3 linked regions of the Arabidopsis thaliana genome follow. The protein of the gene in region 3 interacts with the protein of the main gene of each other region in a pairwise test. Each region holds a gene or a part of one and is shown on either strand. Other genes may lie near its edges.

Region 1 (5,394 bases), 9.9 Mb from region 3:
GAACTGATAGGCTAAGAAAATCAAGATTATTTCTGTCAAAAAAATTATATAAGCTAATTGAAATCTAGTTATATTATATAAGATAATTGAAAGGCAATGGACATTGTTGACAATTGACAGTAATCTTTTTTTTTGGGGGGGGAGCAATAAACATTAATATTTGGGCCAAAAGAATTGATGGGCTGTTTAGCAATCGAGGTCCAAGTTCAGTTTTGTTAACGTTGATACAGATATTGTAGGTAAAGTATGTATATGGAAATGAGATATATATCGAGCAAACCTATACTCATGGACTACTGTATTCATCTAACATTTTGCCATTATTGATCCGACTTATACAAAAGACAGTTAGATGCTACACTACTCTTAACTTCACCCATACAAATCGACCATACAAGCTTTCTCTGGCCAGTACAAAAAATAAGGCTCCCTATGAATCTCTCAAGCCAAAAAAATTGATACTCACATAGAGGACAAAACTCTCTCATTGCAGAACATAACATTTAACCATAAGAAATGGCCAGTATCCATATAGGATTGCAGCCGATAATCAGACGTTATGTTTTTAGCAATGAGACTACCGCCTCTATCTAATGTCAGGCTTTCCCCAACAAGTTTCCATTCCCCAAACTGATATAGAATAAAGAGGAAATCCAAAGATTAGTATCTGAAAGATGGCTAACCTCTCGACGACTCGACCTATTTATAGTTCCTACCAAAACGTGTATAAACTATCGGTTAGGAGTTTGTCCAAAAGAAAAATTATGGGTTAGGAGAAATAAGTAACTATACATGTATAAATGACTTTCTCTTTATTTAGATATATTAAAAGACACAATATCTATGTTTTATTTTTCTATAATAGACTTTTGGTCAATGATAAGTTAAAATACATTCGCATATAAAAAATCGTACATTCATATATAGAAAAGATAACAAATATTATAATCTAAGAATGAAAACCGTACAATTCATTTTCCATATTGGCAAAAATGAAAATTAAATAAGAAATGATCATATAAGTTATCGATATACAAAATTTCATCTTAATTAAAAAAAAAAAAAAATTCAGGTAAATTGAGTTTTAACGAAAAAAAAAAATAGTGTGTTATACACGGTATAGACTACACCCAAATACAATTTAGATAAACAATCTATATTTTTCTTAAAACAACGATTAACATAAGATATCTACGAATGCCACTTTCCATAACAACAAGAAACAATACAACAAAACGATAACTTATTATTTTAGTTTTTGAATATAATATAAATTATAGATTGCTTATCTATAATTTATTAAAAATATATATATATATATAAATTAAAAAAAAAAAAAAAATTAGCGTTCTTACAACTAATGCCGTTATGTTTAACAATTTTACAAAGAAAAGTTAGAGCTTCTTGTCCTAGCTTGTGTTCCTTGATTCGAGCAAGATAACTTATTATTGCTTTTGTTCAAAACAGCAAATTTTATATTTGACCAATAATCTCATTATCCTGAATAAAGTATTATCTCCATTATATTTGTTTATTAAAAAAATAATTAAGAATCCTACTATTTCCTCAAATCCAATTGGATATAGGTAAAAAACATAAGATCAACAACCTTATATGTTCATCAGAGAGATTAATACCAAAACAAAGTATCATTTTAGTTGATCAGGATTATCATTAATGATATTTAAAAGAACATCAGCAGATCTGAACGAAACACGATCTCAACACTAAAAAATTCTTTAAAACTATCTGCTGATGACCAAAAAAAAAAAAAAAAATTATTGGCACCACTTAAACTTAAAGCTTCTACTTAGATGATGATCAAATAATACTCAATTCAGAAACATTTAATTATATCTAATAATCATAATTAAATCTTAATCAGTTCTCAGGTGGAGGAGGGAAATTAAGATCCAAGTCCAAAACCACACGTCGTCCTTCATATCTAACGACATCCATCACCACCGACGAAGAATCCGATTCACTCCTTTCATCGAACACCATCATCCCAGCCTTAACCTGAATCTTAGGAAAAGGGAATCTCGAACTAACAGAGTCAGATCCGAGGTTGAGATTAGGAAACGATGATTCCACGGTGCTGCTCTGGCTCAGGCTCTGTGTCAAACTCAAGCAGTGGGCGTTGATGTTGTAACAAGGGAAGTTGGTTTTGGCTTTAGCTCCACGAAACTCAATAGCACGTTTGTCGTAGGCACGAGCGGCTTCTTCAGGAGTGTCGAAAGTACCGAGCCAGACACGTGACTTCTTGAAAGGATCTCTGATCTCGGCTGCGTAACGTCCCCATGGTCTCTTCCTCACTCCTCTGTAACGGACTCCGTTACCTTCGTTGGTTTTGACGGCCGCCGTTTTAACTGTCGGTGCCATGACAACAACAAACAACAAGATTTGTTTATGTAAGAAAAATTGTTTATGTAAGAAAAAGAAACGCTGAGGAAGTTTGATGAGTTTGTTATGTGAAGAAGTTTGTGAGGACATCATTTATAAGGAGGAGACGACAAATATAAGTCAACAAAGGGGCGGCCGAGTGGCAGTTTTGGTAATTAAATCCATATTACGTGGCTTCTTTTTTTTGTCTCCACGAAAGAGGAAAGTGAGAGTGAAGAAGCTTTTTTTTTTTTTTTTTTCTTATTACTAAAAGACATTTTATCTATTTAGTGGTTATTTTCTTAAATGTTTTTATTTATTATGTTGATATTAATGTTTTTTTTTTATAGTTTGTTAATTTTTTGATTGATTTTATTTGGATTTTCTATATATTGCGTGTGGTGAGGAGCCCACGCGCTTGCTTGACACGTGTTGACTTGTGTTGTCTGCTTCTATTGGTTAGCAAACTGTAAACAGACACGATGTGTGATAATGATTTTAGATCTGTTATTTTTGATTAAATGCGAGTTTAATTTTGATATGTATATCTGTTTAATTATTTGTTACTAAAATCCGAGATTAAGTATGTTGTCATCTTTTATTTTTTAGAGGAAAGGATAAAAAGTAGTAGTTATTATTGAGTTTATATGGGTCTACCGTTTTTAATTTTAGGCTTTGCATGGAAACAATTTATATTTTGCTATAAAAAAATAAAAATAAAAATATGTTTTGCTTCTTTTTTTATTGTATATTGCTTGTCATATTTTGATTTTTTGTTTTGGAAAAATATACTTCAGAGTGTTTTTATTATTTATTCTTATTTTCTTATTAAAAATAAAGAAATAGGAAAACAACTTTCAATTGACTTATGGTGATGAAAACAACTTTCAATTGATTTTATAGAAAAATTAAAAAAAATATATTTATTATTACTAGAAATGATTCGTTAATGACATTCTCAAATTATAATTTATATTTCTGACAAAAAAAACTATATTTTCATCTAATTATTATTTTTTAAATCTGGTTTTTAAAAGAGATAATTTTAAGTGTATGATTTGATACAAAATTGAATCAGTTGCTTATTTTCAAAAAGAAACTTTCCTAATGTTCTTATAAATATCATAAATTTATCAACATAGTAATTATTTCAAACAAATTTTATCCTCAAATACAAATATAAGTAAAGATATGGAGAGTTGCATACCAATGTTTCTCTATATATATAAATTAACAAACATATGACATGTGTTATTATTTAATTATCAATTGAAATAATTATTATTAAATGAAATTATATATATCTTTAAGTATTAAAAATTTATCATGTATTGAGTAGTAAAGAAAACAAATACTGTATACAATTACTTATCTTCCTAATTATTGATAGTTGGCAAGCTGTCACGAGAGAAAATATTTCAAATTTTAATACAATCATATATTTTTACATCATATTTATGAATGATATGTTAACACTATATATAACACAGTAAATATAAATCTAACCATTTAAAAATTTATAACTATTTTAATAAGCTGAAAATATAATAATATCGTTATATATAGTATTATGTTAAATTTAAAATTTAATATGTTTATTTATATATTCCAATAAAATTTGCCGTCACAATAATCTTATCAAATATTTAATAACTACTAACGCGAATGGTAAAAATCAATTATTTGTTTACTGATAAAGCAAACGATACGAAAGAAAACAAACATATTCCAACCATGATATTTGTTAATTTGTTTTTTTATCAGATTAATTTTAAGTTGTTTTTATTATAAATTTTAATTTATTATAGATATGATGGTGGTGGTGTTTTGTTTAGGCAGCAGCGGCATAGCAAAGAAAAAAGACAGCGCTGTAATTTATAGAATTTAAAGATCAAAGGATTTTAATACCATGTAAGATGAAAGAATCTTTTGTCATTCTAGATGGTATGACTGAATTGAGAAAGATCTTATTTGAGTAAATATACAATTAAAAAAAGTATAGATATACACAAACAAATCATAATATATTCTAACAAGTTCTATTTAAAGAATTAGTCCTCCAAATTGTTTAATTCTATTTTTTTCATAGCTTGGTAAACGAAGTTGAGGTTGCGTAGCTATTCATAAATTTAGGTTGGTGTTTATCTTTTTAAAATATTCACCCAAATTTAACTATGTGTTTATATTGATGATTCAAAACGAAAATATTTTTTTTGAAAACTCTTCTTCTTCCAAAAAAACAGAAAATCGTAGCCAATATTGCAAATACTGCAAATACTTAAACTGGTCTCACATGCGGCTGCGGATGGCTTGACGAAGCACACATGCAGCCTTTACGCTCAATAATTGGTAGAACAATTAAACCATATCTTAAAAACAAATATATGTATTTTTTTTTTAAAACAAAGAATGATTACTTACTTATGTGTTACTTAAAACAGACACATTTTGACAACAACAAAATAAACAATGCACACATTGTATAGACCATAAAACAGAAAGATCGGGTTGAAACCAAAGACAGATGGCTGCAAAATTGTCGGAGAACAAACACTGATGAGAATCATATTTTACATAGTTAATCGAAGTATAAAATACTATAATACTAATACTGATACTAATGTTTAAAATATAAAAATGGGATAATGTTACCTTTTTCCAGGATTGCCCACATTTCAGATGCAATGCATTTGCTCCACCTTGATTTCAAAGTTTGATAGATTCTTCTCCTCACAATTTCACATTATTTAATTGCATTTTGGACTTTGAGGTGAATGGACCATAACTACTTGGTCTTCATAGAAACATATTTTCTTTTCCAGGGGTATTAATGAGTATCAAGCATTTAAATCGAAAATCGGTCGGACTACCGGAAACTAATTTATGCAATAGTTTTCACCAAAAAGATCATCACTAGGACCAAAACAAATCACTAGGTGATGAAAAAAAAAAATCACTAGTTAAAATGTTTTAATTGAATAGTAAACACATAGCAAGTAACATAGAGAATAA
Region 2 (5,179 bases), on a different chromosome or scaffold from region 3:
GCCAGGATCTTTGTTGAAGAAAGCGGGATTAGCGACTCTCTTTCAGCTGAGGACTTTCTTGTCGAGAGAGAGTCAATGTTGCAAGACCTTTTCCCTACTAGTGAGCTCATGCCAGGTAGATTCTGCTTTTTGTAACACATGACATTTGGTTCACAGGAAGATTACATGTACGGATATTTATGTTTTTGATGTGGTCATGAACCAATTCTCTTCCACATTTTCAGGGGCTAGTAGACTCATTAAGCATCTCCATGTAAAGAATATTCCAATATGTATTGCTACCGGGTAATCTCTTCACCTCATCTCATAATATACCATTTAGTTTGCATTCTCATTGTCCTTTACAATCCAGAAACTGACTTGTTATGTTTGATTGTACGCTTGCAGTACTCACACACGGCATTATGATCTGAAAACCCAAAGACACAGAGAGCTTTTCTCATTGATGCATCACGTAGTTCGTGGTGATGATCCAGAGGTGAAGCAAGGAAAGCCTGCTCCTGACGGGTTTCTCGCTGCTGCTAGGAGATTTAAGGTAACTAACAGGCAACAGTCTCCAAGATTCTCCATTACTAACTAGTTCATATTTAAAATGAGTTGTAGACTAATGTTTCCTCTTCGTCTGGATTCCTTAGGACGGTCCTGTGGATTCACAAAAGGTTCTGGTGTTTGAAGATGCTCCATCTGGAGTTCTTGCTGCTAAAAACGCCGGAATGTAAGTGGGTTTCTCTTCATGTAAAAGCCAATAAAAACCGAGAAACAAGTTTATACATCTTGATGTCTATCTACAGGAACGTGGTTATGGTACCGGATCCTAGACTAGATATCTCTCACCAAGATGTTGCAGATCAAATCATAACCTCTCTAGTCGATTTTAAACCGGAAGAGTGGGGCTTGCCTCCATTCGAAGATTCGAACTAAACGATACAAACGTCTTCAAGGTAATGATAAAAACTCAAATCATGAAGCTTATTCTTTGTCTTGTTATATTGTTTTGGCATGTACATGACAAAGGCCATGAGGCTTTATGTCGTCAAGGGTTCTATGATTTTCTGGCTATTGAAGACATAAAAAGAAACTAAGTGGTGACATGACGAGAGACCAAACAAAAAAATTTGCCTCAACGTTTAAACAAATTATTTTTGTACAACTACTCTTACCCACAAGTTTCAACATTGGCTTATCTTATTTTGTTCTTGTCGGTATAGCTGAATTGATTCCTTCTTTATGGTTTGGAATCTCTCTTCTTTACGCATCACTAACATGTGTTGTTACTGCAACGTTTCATGTTTTACACTATAATTAAGAAAAATAGGTTATATTTAGTATTACAACTTTTTTTTTATTTTTCATTTCGTACGTGAACAAAGAAGCAAACACATCCAATGATGATTTTACAGTAATGCCATTAGGATTCAACCGACATCGGCTGTTACAAAACATCGTATGACATCGTTGCAAAAACGGTCTTTCTCCTCCTCACTCGTTTCTTTTAACTTGTCTTGTGTTTCCCTTGACCGGCAAGATTCGAATTCTCTTCGCTACACGAACAAAGTCCCTGTGTCAACAAGCAAATTTTCTCGTTAACGTCCAAGTATTAAAATATTGCCAGTTAAAGATCACGAAACCTTCAAAATCTAATTATACTAAACATTGAACGAAAACCGTAATTTTTAAGAAAGATATATAACGGTATCAAACAAAATAACTATAGCCAGCAAAATTGAGTATACAGAATAAGGATAGCAACAAAATATCATTTCACTAAATTATTGATATTTGTCTTTTTAGAAAAGCAGAGAACATGTGTTTTCTTGGCAGCTTGAAAAACTTGTGTTTGTAGTATTTTACCGTTAGGGGAAAAAAAATTAATATAGTTTTCCTATGTTTAAAATAAGGCTCGTTTTATATATAGTTTGTATATATATGGCCATCCTGACAATAATAAAGAAAATTAATGTTAGGGGAGGAAAATTACTTCCAAGTAAGATCTCCGGCAAGAAGGAGATCGTTCTCCATGTCTTCATAAGCAATAAGATGGCCAGGAATGGCGTTTGACAGATCAAGATCGTCCGTTGAATCAGCTCCATCGACAAACATTTGCCTTAGAGCCGAAGCCAAGCTCTGATAACTCCCATGCTTGTCTAGGCTTATGCGTTGACATATAGAACGTCCCTCTAGCACAACCGTAACCGGAGGAACCACCGATGAAACAAGATCGTCCTCTACGTTAAGCCCAAAGCCTTGGAATGATCTCCCGGCCGCTCCAGAGCTGGAGTTGCTATTATTATGGTTTTTGGAAGCCGGTTTGGGTATGAAAGGTGTCGTGGTGTCACGAGGTTGTTGTGTGGTGCTGTTGTCTTGATGAAACCTTCTTTGCAAAGAGTCTTGGCTTTGTGGCTCGAAACTATTCATATTGAGAGTAGGGTTTTAGGGCTTTTGTAACTTAGAGAAGACAACGGACGCTTACATGGAACTCAAAGTGTTTCGTGTTTTTTTGTTAAGCTAGAGAGAGACTGTGTGTTTGATGAGATTCTGGTGAAAGTGAATGTATGTACATATAAATAGATAGAGAAAGCGTAAATTGTGTGGCAAACAAAAAGGTGTCTTTTATTTTTCATTTTTCAATTTTCGTTTGGTTTAATGTTGTCTTAAATGTTTCATTTAATTTGAAAGTACATCTGCTCTTTGGATTTCTCGTTAGACAATGAATCCTCAATTAACAATCAATTTAATATTTAATTATTCAATGAACAATTGGATTCACGTAAAAATGTTCTCACATGCTTATGTATTAAATGTGTTTTTACAATTATTGTATTTTGCTAACTTATTCTACTATATATCTATCACTGCGACTGTGAGAGTAATAAGAGCTGTTACAGGAAATGTTCCAAGGTTTCACTAATTTTGACCATATATTACCAGCAAGGTATTAGGTATTTATGTATACAAGTATAAAGAAATTTTAAAATAAAAATGTTTGGAAATGTTTACGTGGACAAAAAGAAAGCTGATGGGAAAACATAAAAACAGTGAAAAAGAGTCAATATAATAAGAAATGTGAATTAGCTAGAAAACTCCAAATTAATTAAAGACATTATAAATTGGTGATTAATTAAATAATGAAAGAAGGTATCATAGAAAAAGAGATCTTGTAAATTGTAACGCATGGGCTGCGGAGACGACCGCGCTGCCGTCGCCGAACGCCTCGCTTCCTTGACTCGCGCCTGGTCGGGAGTTCCACGTCATTTTCTTTTCATACACTAATACACACATCAAGCATACATACGAAGAATATAAAAATTGTATTAACCGGTAAACACACGCATATATCCACACGACCACACATCAACGTCATATAGAATATACATGCATAGCCATTTATCCATGTAACATCACATACACACACATGAATACGTTTAACGTTTGATCTCATACTTCTCGGATTTAACTCGGTTTGACGAAAGTAAAACAAAGTATTAGACCTTGGTCCAAAATGTAGACATCACCCCTCTAATAATAATGAAAACTCATGTTATTTGGGAGGAGTTGTTTAGAGTGATTAGATCCAAGAAAATATGTGAACTTAATTAGAAATTTCTTAGATCAAAAAAGAGGGAAAAAAAGAAGAATTGCACTCTAAACTCATACAATATAATCCAAAGTCTTTTCGGTTATAGATTTTGGTGTACGGAACTTATCTGAAAATAAATAAATAACAAGTTTGTTCGAGCTACCTAAAATTAGTTGATTCCAATTCAAGTCATTTTAAAACATTATACACGATTTTAAAATCGCAAATAATTAAGTTGAGTGACCAAATGTATAGGTAAATCATGTATGAGTCAAATAACTGTGCCTAAAATTGTAATTTTATGCTAAAATGTTGATTTTCATATGGACTATTAAATGAAAAATTAACGGTGGATCCAACAAGCAATAGGTGAATAAGCTAAAGCAAACCCAAGAAGACATAAAACGAAGCACAAGAAGCATATTTTCTTAAGTTTGAAGCAAACAATAATTTACTCTATACATTTAAATTTCAACTCGGGATTCGAATTAGAAGACTCGAAGATCCGACATGGAGGCATGGAAATATTTAAAACTTACCTCGGTTTCATAGATCTCAATTTAGGACTATAGTTTAACACATTACTACGTCTACATGTTATATTTAATCATCTAATTAATTTGTCTCGATTTTTGTTTTTTTTCGATTCTACAGACATACGTTAATGTTTGCTTATTCCACTCCCCGATAATAATCAAAATTTAAATAACAATCAAACACTTACCCGCTGTTTTGGTCTGTTTCTAACCAAACAATGATAATCATTTTGTCATGCTCATCCAACATTAGCACAAGTCTAAACAGGCCTTACACATCAGCTCAATAAAGCCTTAATAGGCCCAATTAAAACAGTATGGGCCCACATTCTTCCTTCTCTTAAAGCCTAAACAGTTGGCGCGTCAAAATCACGTGGAGGAGCACTGAAGCCAGTAGGTGTCTCTTCACAGGATCATTTCCTTAAAGCTCATTATCACAAAAACAAATCCTTTTGATTATTATTACTGAAATAAAAAGCAAAGTGAAAAAGGTTTTAAAAACTTTTATTTTCGCTCTTCTCCAGAAACATTCCGTTTCAGATATTTTTGATTTTTGAATTTGTTTTCGCTCTCTCTCTCTCTCTGCTTAGATTAGATCTGTTCCTGTGAATTGATTCTCTGTTTCATCGTTTGCTCACGCCGCCGTTTTCGCCGGAGGTGGAAGCTCTCATCGCCGTTTCGAAAATGCCGGCGAATGATGCTGAATACGATCTCAAAGTAAGATTACTGTTTTCCGATTTGTTTTCCTCATCGAATTTCAATTTCAAGCTCCATTGACTGATTCTATGGTTTCTTCTTCACAGGTTTTATCTCAATCTGCGTCAGCAGGGTTAGTTTTCTTCTTAATCCCCCTAGGGTTTACTTTAAAATCTCCAATGAGTACTGATTGGAATTTTTGTTTTTTTGATTGAGAAGGGATTACACATTTGCGAATGAGGATAACTTGGAGCATTGTACGAAGTATTTGAATCAGACGATGGTTACATTTGGATTTCCCGCCTCGCTCGATCTCTTTTCGAATGATCCTGTAGGTTCTTATTATTGATGCTGAAATTGTTTGGATGTT
Region 3 (6,110 bases):
TCCTTTTCTTACACTTTGCTATCCTTTTTTATTATTATCATTCATGTCTTCTTCAACATTCCCTTTTTCTTCTGTCATGCCCCCAAAATCATAGAGGTTTCTTTTACCTCATTGATCTTTTCACATAACCAGATTCATCATGAGCTACATTTATTGTATGTACATCAATCATATACATTTGAACAAGAAGGTTACAAGGAAGGAACAAAAGAAGAAGAAAAGATAACAGAATTTTAAAATGTAGAATGGATATGATTCAGGCTGTCTTTTTCTTTTTTATGCTGCAATTTACTTTCGGATGTCTAGCCACTACTTCCAATCTCATCTTATCCCATCTCATGTAAAGTGTTGCTTCTTTATATAACTTCTCCATAAGAAACCAAAGTTTTCTTTCCGAAAGATATTATAGCCAAAAATCGACAAATTATGGACAAAAATTCATACCTTCACACTATTGATCTGAAAAGAAAGAGACTTGCTCTGCTTTCAACTTCCTTCATTTAGACCAACAAGAGTGTCTTCATCTACTAATCTAATGTCCTATTCTTTTTTACTTATTAAAGACTACATCACACTCAAGTTCGGTGGATCTCCTACACTCTTGTTTAAAGTAGACAGTTATTTGACACTAGACATCAAATTCTCTTTTGCTCCTTTTTCATAAAATCTTGAAATCTAGTATTGAGGAAGATTCTATGAAAAGAAGTCAAAAACCATTTCTCTGATATTTATATAGGGATCCGTGGATCATGGGCCAAAACTCTTACTAAGTATCAGAGCTTGCATCCACTAAACAAATTTTAAAAGAAACCCATAATTCTAAACTCTAAACTCCAAAAGAAGCAACACATGCAAACCCTGTCTATGGAAAGTGACTCTTCATCTATGGGGCCAAAAGAAGAGACTAAGAAACACAAGAGAAATGATTGTTTCAAATTCCATTTGCTAGTCAAAAGAAAGTTTATAACCACAGAGATTGGGAAGATAATACTTCTAATAAACGCTAAACCAAACAATATGATGATTGATGTAGATGGATAGAGCACTGTTCCTCTTTGGGATTGGCAAACAAAATGAGATATTTCTTGGGGAAAGCATTAAACCCACATGGAATAAAGGGCAAACAAAAGACTTTAGCTTCAAGTGGGGTTAAAGGTTTCCAACACAAGAACATAAATAAAGGACAAGTAATTGTAGAACAAGTTACAACAAACAAGATGTGAGCTCATGTAGCTAGAGCTAAACATTGTAAAACAGAATTGAACTTACAGAACGTTCTCTAATTGATACAAGATGAATTCAAATTAACCAAGGCCTAGGCTTTTAAAGACTTAAGAAGAACCTGAAACTGTTGATCAGATTTATAGGCCATTTGGATATTCGAAACACACAACAACGAAAACCGCCTTCACTATTCCACGCATTCGAAGCGCCCTGAAACGTTAAAAACAATGTAAGTTATCAATTTGATGAATGGTTAAAAGACAAGACTTTCACAAATGGGTGTTGTTTTCGAAAAACTTCAAACCTGGAATATGAAAAGAAACCTGTTGTGTTGCACAATCTTATGTGTTTTTGGAACTTGTTTAATGGCGAGAATCGGATGAAGCAGAGGACGGCTTGTTGTCGCCGCCGTGCTCCTCTTGTTCGCCTTGAAACCGTGCTGGTATACGAAAACCGGAGAATTCACCACTTGAAGCAAATGCAATGCCTGGAATAGCAGATTGGTGAATCCCGGGAGGGATATGGTAGGGATGATGATGGTGGAGATCGTCAGTGGTCATGGACTGCTGATGATGATGATGATGATGGTGAGGATCAAACCAAGCACGAATCATAGGTGTGTTAATGGACTGAAGGGGACCCCTCTGTGATAAAAGCTGACTTTGGCTATAAACTGGATGCAACGACGACGGAGAAGCAAACACAAATCCTCCGGTACTTCCGGCGGATTCAGCTGCTCCGACGTTGTTCCATGACACTAGTCTCTGTATCTTTCCAAATTCCGGTGACTGATGACTCTGTTCCCAGCTTGCCGTCGATGAGTCAAACGCTAACTGATTATTGCTCTGGCCGGAGAACAGAGCAGGTTCTGTTTGATTAGGAAAAGGTGGACCATTTTGGAAAGATTGAAGCGAGAGACGAAGAAGATCTTGGTTCTGTGTATTGCCTCGTGACGGTGGCTGATGATGATAGCTCTGTTGCGTTGAAGCTACCGGAAAAAACGACTTTATAGTGTCAGCTATCGAATCAGAATCCATTGACGCCGGAAGAAAACTCGATTCGTTATCTTCTTCTTCTCCGATTCGATGATGCTCTGTTTCTTCCGGTTGTGGCGGTGGCGGAGAAATTAAAGTTTTGGTTTTTCTGGGTTTAGCGTTAGCAGCAGCGGCGGCGTGTTGACGAAGAGTATCGGCGGGGTTCCAAGGAGGAAGCTGAGCAAGATCATCAATGGCGGATTTAGCTTTAGTAATAAGCCAATCAACAGCTTTACTTGGTCGATCAAAACCAAGTCTATCTTGAACATCGTAGAATTGAATCGCCGTCGGAGCTGAGAGTCTCACGCGCCGGTCACGTGGTCCTTTCGCTGTACATACTTTACTATGTCTGTCTTTTCTTCCTGTTGACCGAACAATGTGACCTCCTTGTACCTCCACAATCTCGCCGCAACCACCACCGTTCTCCGTCGCTGATTGGTGGTGTCTCATCTCTAGAAGAGGCGGCGACGGAGAATCTAAGAAATGGTCGTTATCTGGTGCCATTGATGAAGCATATTGTGGAAATTCAAGGTCGTTGATGGTGGTGGTGGTTGGATTATGACGGCGGCGGCGACGGCGGTCGTTAACCGCCGAGGAATCCAGAGTCGTTCGATTTATTTAATTCAACATTTTGCCTCTCCTCCAAATCCCAAACCCTAAACACGCCAACAAATCAAAGATGAAGAAGAAGAAGAAGAAGAAGACGTAATTGAATTTTGCAGACTAACCCATGACTAAATTTCTCTTCTTTTGTCTAAAGATTGTTTCTTTTTTAGAATTTGTCTCTGTTTCTGAGAATTCAAGAAGCAAAAACAGAGGAAGCAAGAAGAGAGAGAAGAGATAGAGAGATGTGGAATTGACTAAACGAGAATCCAGGAAAGCTCTTTTTAATTTTTTGTTTCTGGCCGGAAAATTTACAGTAACGGTAAAAAAAGGAAGAGATTTTGGGGTTTGGGGAAGAGAGGGAAATGGTAATGGAAGGAGTGTGTTTGGTCATAAAAAGAGCTCTCTGATACTCATCATCATCACTTGTGCTTTTATTTCATTTTTAAAGTGTTTTCTTATTTTATATTATATATTTTATGGTTTTTCTAAATGAAAAACAAAAAGCTTTTGTCCGATTCATCATGTGGAAATATTTTACATGACATTTCGAATTGTATTAGCTATATACATTACAATGGATATATTTTGGTAGAGGTTACTGTAAGAATATCAACACATATACATAGTCCTCTTAGGTTTGGTTCTGACTACCACTATTTTTTTTTGTTAAAGATGATAGAAACTATAAGCACTAATAAACCCAAATTTTACCAAGTCAAAGATTGTTCTGTACTGTGTTAGAAAATATTAATACAGAACTTTTGAGGTAGTAAAGGTTTTGGGTTGTTGGAAAAAAAGACAATACAAGAAGATTTCTTTTATAATAAAAACTAAAAAGTAAAGCTTTTAGATCTGTTGGAGAGTTGGAGACACTAATAATTGGGCGGTATAAACTAATATTGATGGTATTATTTTAAACAAATAAAGTATTATTTTCATCGAATCAAATTGTATTGGTTTTAGAGGTTACACCCTGTAAAATGCATCACCAGTATCCGTAGGATTCGACAGTATCCCTATAATCAACCATTGTCTATGCTCCTTTCCACTATCTGTTCTCGAACTCCACTGTTCGTCAATCCCACTTTTAATTAACCAAACGTAGTAAAGTTTCAGATGGAAAACGAAAATAATAGAGATACATACTTGTACATAGTTTTAGTTTAAAATTAACTTGAATTTCCTTTAAACAAAGATAAAAATGTGTATATATACGTAATTTGGTAACTCAATCAGTTTTTTTTTTCTTTTTTGTTAACAAGGAAATCCCGAGCATTTGACATACTAATACAAGTATGGTATGTGATTAAATATGAACATTTTAGGTGTGATTCATGTAGAGATTTCAAGAGAGATATAAGAAGAAATATGTGATTGTAGATAGGAGATTTATGTTTTTTGTAAGTGCGTTTCCTACTCATCGAGCCAATCTGCATTGAATCCATAATTTTTTCTTTTACCTTCCCAAGAGAAGAAATTATCAAAACATCGTTCTACGACATGCAACATCAAATTTAAAGGCACGAAATATCGCACGGTTCACTGGTTTAGGACACAATCAATTATTGTTTTCCATTTTTTTGTCATTACCACAAATTCTCTTTCTAACTACTTCTCCATTATACACACCGACCATGCATGTACTGTATTTTTAATTAAATACCCGTAGTCATACGAACTTTTCTGATATATAATGTATTTGGTACCATATTCTTGATCATCAAATAATGACAATGCACACATAAAAAGATGACGTATCGATATGTAAGGCAAAGATGGAATCAAATTTCAAATAAATGTTTCCCATTGCACCTACTCAACCAAGTGTAGTCTAAATAAATTTACGAATATACCCTATAGGCTTTTAGTGTTTTTCGATCGCATGTGTGTCAGTAAGTACACTCCCCATCACCCTCATAGTCATTTCCTCTTATCTCTCTCTCTTAAGTTATTTTCCCCAATATTTATTCCTTTCATTTATTTTTGTCAACTTGTTTTTCCGATAAAGAAATAAACACAATTTTTTCTGTCAATTTCCTAGTTTTATTTCGTTTATTTCCATTGTCTTATTTTTTTCCGTAATAAAAGAAATTAAAGCACTGTGAAAAGTTATAAATTCATTCTTCCATTCCCTTTCAAAATGATTAGTTTGTATTAAGTCATTTTCAGGGGAATTGTAGTAAAATATTTTATTTTTATTCGTCTTTATAATTTTACATAAACTGATTATTTGATTTGTTTACAAGAGTTAGATGGTCAAATAGTGTTTCCTCTAACATGAACAGTTTTAAAGGGCAATACACAAAAACACTAACGGTAATTGTTAGAGTTAATGAGTCTATTAGGGTCTTCTTGTATAAATCTAATACATTATACATGAGTACACAAAAGAAAGAATAAAGAATATATGGTACTAATCATATATCGAGGCATATTATTTGGTTTACGTGAAAAGGGATATAGAAAGGACGAATGTGGATCCAATAATCCGTTTTGCAATTTTAGTGAAAAAAATATAAGAAAGGAAGAATGTTGACACGGATGATAAATATGCATGTGCCATGTTAAAAAAAAAAAAAGTGAAAGGACGATGCTTTAATTCAGTTTTCTGGTACCCTTTTTGTCTAGAAATAAAATATTATTGTTACTTTTGTGTAACTACTGTAAAAGTAAATTGTAATAAAAGTCACAATAACCAAAAGAAGAAAAGAGAGGGCAAAAAAGAAGATGAAACTTGGGTTACCAAACTAGTTTTGGTTTTTGATGATTTGGGCTGAAAGTGTATAGACCTTTTCTCTAACCTTTTGAATGTAAGACGAAAGGGAGCCCATGGCATATCAACTACTCCGAACCAAAATATGTAAAATCGGTTTGGAGCGGTTAATGTTGGAAATCTCATATTTTTAACAAAAGTAAAAAACTAAACTATACTCGACAGCGAGAAAAGAAGTAAATAAACTCGTCTGATCAATCAAATGGAACCCATTTAACATCAACTCTACCTATGCAAGTCCTCCAAAACGTTAGCTTCTCAATTTGAGTTTATTTTGGTAAAATGCCAATGAAGATCACATCTGTAAAAATCTCTTTTACTTTTGGCTGAAATTTAAACTTAACCCAAAAAAGAAGAAAGTAATATCTGAGAAACAGAAAGTATGGTGACACAGACGCAGCATTAAAAAGGAACCAACCCACACTTATGATCTCTTGTTCATGAAAAAAAAGTCGCATGGTTCCAAAAAGGAA

Evidence for each region. Proteins that work in one complex are often made in the same cells at the same time.
Region 1: the proteins of TCP3 (region 3) and ERF11 interact in binary tests that used the Arabidopsis thaliana proteins (3 or more experiments, as listed by UniProt).
Region 2: the proteins of TCP3 (region 3) and IAA33 interact in binary tests that used the Arabidopsis thaliana proteins (3 or more experiments, as listed by UniProt).

What each region holds. Positions count from the first base shown.
Region 1 is NC_003070.9:9,954,470-9,959,863, forward strand, and holds ERF11 (ERF domain protein 11), read right to left. Parts: upstream 2,512-5,394; 5' UTR 2,497-2,511; coding exon 1,882-2,496; 3' UTR 1,347-1,881; downstream 1-1,346.
Region 2 is NC_003076.8:23,267,260-23,272,438, reverse strand, and holds IAA33 (indole-3-acetic acid inducible 33), read right to left. Parts: upstream 2,526-5,179; 5' UTR 2,416-2,525; coding exon 1,979-2,415; intron 1,559-1,978; coding exon 1,480-1,558; 3' UTR 1,347-1,479; downstream 1-1,346. Other genes in the region: GS1 (Haloacid dehalogenase-like hydrolase (HAD) superfamily protein), read left to right, coding at 1-115, 225-285, 388-535, 636-715, 792-921; AT5G57410 (Afadin/alpha-actinin-binding protein), read left to right, coding at 4,798-4,830, 4,917-4,942, 5,029-5,140. UniProt on the Arabidopsis thaliana protein: Aux/IAA proteins are short-lived transcriptional factors that function as repressors of early auxin response genes at low auxin concentrations.
Region 3 is NC_003070.9:19,848,674-19,854,783, forward strand, and holds TCP3 (TEOSINTE BRANCHED 1, cycloidea and PCF transcription factor 3), read right to left. Parts: upstream 3,053-6,110; 5' UTR 2,763-3,052; coding exon 1,587-2,762; 3' UTR 1,529-1,586; exon of another isoform or gene 1,528-1,528; intron 1,435-1,527; 3' UTR 1,115-1,434; downstream 1-1,114. UniProt on the Arabidopsis thaliana protein: Plays a pivotal role in the control of morphogenesis of shoot organs by negatively regulating the expression of boundary-specific genes such as CUC genes, probably through the induction of miRNA (e.g. miR164). Participates in ovule development.